Kluyveromyces lactis: one gene and its partner. The protein of the gene in region 2 interacts with the protein of the main gene of each other region in a pairwise test. Links are inferred from orthologs where the notes say so. Each region holds a gene or a part of one and is shown on either strand. Other genes may lie near its edges. The genes, in order: THO1 and SUB2.

What was found.
Region 1: the proteins of SUB2 (region 2) and THO1 interact in a two-hybrid assay, tested with the Saccharomyces cerevisiae proteins (2 studies listed by BioGRID). The link is inferred for Kluyveromyces lactis from reciprocal best matches to the Saccharomyces cerevisiae genes SUB2 and THO1.

The regions. Positions count from the first base shown.
Region 1 is NC_006039.1:719,228-721,990, reverse strand, and holds THO1 (Tho1p), read left to right. Parts: upstream 1-1,402; coding exon 1,403-2,134; downstream 2,135-2,763. Other genes in the region: KLLA0_C08217g (HAD family hydrolase), read right to left, coding at 1-238. UniProt on the Saccharomyces cerevisiae protein: Facilitates RNA binding of SUB2 and likely plays a role in mRNA export. Suppressor of the transcriptional defect of HPR1 by overexpression.
Region 2 is NC_006041.1:1,958,511-1,961,849, reverse strand, and holds SUB2 (ATP-dependent RNA helicase SUB2), read right to left. Parts: upstream 2,081-3,339; coding exon 767-2,080; downstream 1-766. Other genes in the region: FDO1 (Fdo1p), read left to right, coding at 1-224; KLLA0_E21913g (uncharacterized protein), read right to left, coding at 2,440-3,339. UniProt on the Saccharomyces cerevisiae protein: ATP-binding RNA helicase component of the TREX complex involved in transcription elongation and required for the export of mRNA out of the nucleus. SUB2 also plays a role in pre-mRNA splicing and spliceosome assembly.

The DNA of each region.
Region 1 (2,763 bases), on a different chromosome or scaffold from region 2:
ATTCTTCGTTGGCGTAATCTGGAGCGAACTGCTTGATAACATCGTATGTTCTCCATCCGTGAGAGATATCGATGACATGTTGGGAGTCGAAGTAAGGCTTGTCCTTACCGAAATCTCTCCAGAATTCAGCAATAGCTGGTTGAGAGATGATCAAAGTACCATCAACGTCGAACAAAGCAGCGTTGACTCTTAGAGAGATAGGTTGTTGAGCAGTGTTAGAGGCGGTAGCAGCAGACATTTTTTCTATAATAATTGTAATTCTTAATGAATTTGGTTGTTGATGTTCTTTTAGAATATACAATTTGTAGTAGAATAGGGATATACTACAAAGTTTATGATGACTCTTGAATTCAAATTAACCATGATTCGATGGCCTTTATATATTTTGTTTCTGAATCAAACGTCCCGTTTCTTATTCCAATACCCAGTATATACATAAATTAGATAATAGACAATAGACAATAGACAAGAAGTTCAAGTAGTCACGATAGAAAGGACAAAAATGCGTACCACCAGTTACAAGATACCTCATATTAGGGTCTTTGATAATTTGGCACATAGTGAAACCAACTAAAAGAAAAGAGAGACAAATGAGGACTGATAGGAATACATGATATGATATGACACAGATCAGAAGCATAGATGATTACCATACAAAAGTAACAGCCAAAAAAAAAGAACAGTGCATGGAGTAACTGACACTCGTCACCAGAGAGCCAATGCGAAAAGTAACCCAACAGGAATCCCGAAACAAAAGAAAAAGAAGCTTTGGTTTCTTTTTGTCATTTTATGGTGAGCCATTTTGGTGGCAGCTGGTGTAGTAGCTGTGAATCGGAATCAGTCGCTAAAATCTTTTTTTGTGCAGAAAGAAGAAATAAAACGGAATAGGTGATGGATAGGGAAAAGAAAAGCGACAAGGAGGCAAAGGAGGGACAAGCGATTTGGGAAGCTGCGTAGGTGGCTTGGGGAGTGCAGCCGCACGGGGTGGACAAATAGAAGAACAAGGACAGTTGTCCCTGTGAGTCCATTTTTGTGCAAAGGGGACAAGCGGGATGTCCCCTCCCCTCTTCAGAGTGTTTTTTTGTCTCTTTTTTCTTTTTTTGCTGGGTCAGGTGGGAGGGTCAGATTTCTTTTTGCCTTATGGAGGGAGGACACACGAGACACGAGGCTGGAAGGTGGTGGGCAGGTGTCCTTTAGGTAACTTAATGGGTGGGTGTTGCCTCATTTGGAGATAAAATTGAAGGTGTGCGTGAGTAATCAGGGCGGGTAACATTGAGCTTCTCTTTTTGTTGTTAAAAAACTATTGTCCAGGGTAACGTGTTACCCTGGATGTCCGGGTAAGAAGTGTTCTTTCTTTTACACGCACACGCACACGCACACAGTTTGTTCATGGAAACTTAACATGTTGACATTTGATATATGTATACGTATCTTGGAAACGACTTATTGGCATGCGCGACTACCGAGACAATTGGAAAGTAAAACCTCCTCTTTTCCCGACCCGAACTATTCAAAAACATATTCTCCTTTGTTCGCTATGTCGTATTCTGGTAACACCGTTGCTCAATTGAAGGAGTTGTTGAAGCAAAGAAATCTATCTACAGATGGTTTGAAAGCAGACCTAATAAACAGACTACAAGATGATGACTCCACAAAAAACAGTGCAACCAATGAACCATCGTCTATAGCGGAAGTAGAAGCGACCGCTTCTGCCACCGCTGCCGCTGCCCCTACGATAACTTCTTCCATCCCAGATGCTGTACCTGCAGATGCATCAGCTGCGGTTCCTGAAAATGAAAACGTACCATCTACCGAAGAAGACAAACTCGAAAAAACTCCTCCTGCTACCCCAGCCCCAAAGAATCCAGAGCTATCGCAAGATCAATTGAAACAAGCGGCCATTGACCATTTACAGAAAAAAATCTATCGTGCTGAAAAATTCGGACAAGATGATTCTACCATCGATGACTTGCAAAGGCAGATCAACCGTATTGAAAAGTTCGGTTTAGATTTGTCTACCCAATTGGCTAAGGAGCTAGGATTCGGTAAGGGTCCCGACGCAGCCGTCGGTAAGCCAGACAGGAAATCCTTCCAGAAGAAAAATCGTAATAAATCAAACAACAAACGCCGTTAATTCCTCTTCATAAGCGGAACTCGTAGTACCCACCCATCCCTTTAAAGAACAAACTTCCCAAAAATGATGTAAAAAGAAGATTTTCCAGATCTTCTTTACAATTGTTCCGTACTCTCTTCTTGTCGCATTAGTTGTATGTTATGTAATATATATTCAATTGATGAGTCCTTGACCACTCATTCTCTCTGTCAAGTAAAAAAAAATAAAAACGAACCTTACATAATTTGAATCCAAGCACCGGTCAATTACTGCTCAATATATGTCTTTTCGATGCGCATTGGCAGTGCATAGTTTTTTTACATTTCAAATAAGACTACTGCTAAGTAGCGGGAACCTTCGATAGACAAAACTGAGAAAAAAAGAGTGAAACAGAAAACATATCGTCAAGTTTAATACTTATAAAATTTGGCGCTCGCTTCCTAGTATAAGCCTCGAAGAAAATTGTAACACAGAGCCGAGAATTTGTTGTGATTTCGCAACTCATCGGCTTTTTTATCAAGCGAATGTGTCTCCAGACTGGAAAATTTAGAAATTTGAAAAATATCAAAAAAAAAAAATGAAATAAAAGAAAATGAATCCTGAAATATATATATTTATAGTTGTTAATTATACAATTACAAAGCTCAAGA
Region 2 (3,339 bases):
CCGCATCAGTTCCAGCAGCGCAGCATTTACCAAGTCTGAGTACGGTATCAGAGGTGACACCTGATTCACATTTGATTAGGATCAACAGCAGTTCAAATCAGAAAATAGAGCGTCCTGAACTGCCTATATTGCATCTCAATAGGCCATCGCTTCCGAAAGGTGCGGCACTACCAAAATTACGGAGTTTTAATACAGCAGATGGGACTGTAAAGGATGTCTTGTAAGAACATACTCTTTATTTGTTTTTACCCCAGAGTTATTATTCTATTTCTTATTTTCGTCTGCAGGAAGACCAAATGACAATAATAACACATAAAAATAAAAGAAACAGACGTCGTTTCTGCCGAACCACGCCAATGACACGGTTCGACTACAGAAAGCGTAACCTGCTTGTCCAGAAAGGCCCATATGTTTACTTTTCTCACCTGTAAAAGCTGACAAGCGGCTTGATAGACCTTATGTACATCACATAAATCCAGTTTATATTATATTCATGACAGACGTCTCCGCTTTAATTATCTGCAAGGGCATATGAGGAAACACTAATACCTAAACCCGACATACAATGAAGCTTTTTTTCATGAGAATTGAATTGATTTTATACACTTATACTCCAATTATGTTACTTAGTTATAATGGGACTATTGGAAATTCGTTTTAAACTGTATAAAAACCACATTTTATTTGATAATACACATTCCAGCTTGTTTTTGCAATTTTCTAGTTTTGGTAAAAAATTCTGAAGTAAAACGCTATGATGAAATATCTAAGTGTTCAAATAAGTAGATGGATCAACACCTTCTTCTGGGAACTCAGTGATCTTAACATCAAATCTTTCTTGGATCTTGGCCAAGACTTGTTCGTCATCTTCACTAGATATCATGGAGATAGCCAAACCCTTGGTACCGAATCTACCAGCTCTACCAACACGATGCAAGTATTGGTCTGCTTCGTTTGGCATATCATAATTAATGGCCAAGTTAATACGTTCGATATCAATACCTCTACCGAAAACATCAGTGGAAACACAAATACGTTTTTCGAATTCCTTGAAAGCCTTGTAACGAGCAATACGTTCTTCTTGTTTCATGTGACCATGCACAGTGATGGCTGGGAAGTTAGAAGCATTCAATAGTTTGGTCAATTCGTTAGCTCTGACAGTAGACTTGACGAAAATGATAACTTGGTTGAATTCCAAATCGTCCAACAATTGAGCCAACTTACGGTTCTTTTCCTTTTCATTCAATTTGATATAGTATTGTTGCAAACCGTGTAGAGTCAACTTGGCTTCGTCATCGACAAAGATTTCTAATGGATTTTGAAGGAATCTTCTACAGATTGGTCTGATTTCTTGGGATAGAGTTGCGGAAAACATCATAACTTGCTTATCTCTTGGGGTGGCTCTAAAAATATCTTGAACATCTCTTCTCATATCCAATTCTTCCAAGACCTTGTCACATTCATCAATGACAAAGTTCTTGACGTGAGATAGATCGATATGCTTGTCTCTAACCAAAGCCTTTAAACGACCAGGAGTGGCTACAATGATATGAGGGACGGTTTCCTTCTTGGATAGCAAATCAATATCGTTCTTATATTCAGTACCACCGTAAAATACAGCAGTCTTAACGTCTGGCATGTATTTGGAGAATCTCAAGTATTCGTTTCTAATTTGGTAAGCCAATTCTCTCGCGTTACATAGCACGACGACACTGACTTCACCTTGAACTGGATCCAATTGTTGCAAAGTAGACAACACGAACACAGCAGTCTTACCTAGACCAGACTTAGCTTGACATAAGACGTCAGTACCATGAATGGATTGAGGAATGGTATGTTGTTGCACTTCAGAAGGATGTTCAAAACCACAGTCAATGATAGCTCTGGACAATTCTGGCTTCAACAAGAAATCCTTGAAACCAGTGGAGTGAATACCAACATAAGAACCTTTCTTATCAGAATCCTTTGCTTGGCTCTCACCGTTACCCTCGGCATTCACTTCAGTGGCCTTGTTGTCAACTTGAACTTCTTGTTCGTTATCGGAATACTCCAATAAATCCTCTTCTGCTTCGTGAGACATTGTTTCGGTTGGGTCTTCTTCCTTGTGGTTGACAATACCAAGTTGCTTCTCAACAAGTTCTATCCTTAGATTAAACACGTATAAATCCTTAATTCAATTAACAACCGTCAGAGCACAACACGCACCTTTTCTTCATAATCTATGCCAAATTATTGTTTTGAAATTCTCTTACCTTTCGCTGTTTTTTTCTTACGTTCTCATTTCGTCGTTAAAACAGATATATTTCACTGTCGTCAGGAGTGATACCACGTACTACATGTAAGCAGTCAATTTTGCCACTGAGAAGTGACATTGGTTGATCACGTGAAATAATGCGGGTAATCTAGAACCCAATTAAATGCAGAAATGACAATAACAAGTCACGTGAGTTCAACAGCGCAAGTAGATAATGACTCTTCAAGTAAGCGCGCTTGATTGAAAATGTTGCAAAGAGTGACACGGGCATCAGGATCATGTATTTCTCTATACAACCGCGACTCATTCTCAGATATAGTTCGAATTAATTGCCGTATAGCGTCCCTTTGAGTGCGCGAATTATTGATGGCAACGGCTGGTAACGGCGTTGCGTTGGTGATTATTTCCTTAAGCATGACAGACACAGAGGTAAAGTTAACCATATCTTTGGTAGCCACCGCTGAATTCGAATCTTGTGTGATTTTCTCAAAAGTGACCGCAATATTATTATCCTTGTTTAAACAATTCGTGAGTAGGTCATTTCCCCAGGGAACCGTATACAATTTACCGTTTAGCTTGTGCGTTTTGACTAATTCTAGACATTGTGACCAGTCCCAATGTTCCGTCTGTGTTAACCCTTCCAAAACGACTAGGTCCGTAGAGTTAGCGTCTATACGTTTCAAAATGGAATTTAGATCTTGTAAGAATTGTTCCTTTGCTTCTTCAGGAGAGATGGGACTTAACTCCCTTGTAATTGGTTCACATAGCAAAGATATTGTCACATCTTTCTCTGTGCCAGCATTTACCTGCTGAATCTTCACTTTTAATGCAAAAAATATCATCTTATTGGCTTCGTTTGAGCCATGTGGAACGTATTTACAGATGTAGTAAAACTGATGGCATCTTTTTAATTTGGATTGCAAGCACCGAAGGAATAAATCATGCAATTGACTAAACTTGTTTTTCCATTGCCTAAAATCTTTAAATTTAGCGTTCAATACCCCCTCGCCCGTCATACCATATACCGTTTCTTCCCCATGTCGTCTTATGAAACCAGTGATCCATTTATTTCCCAAGTGTACCGC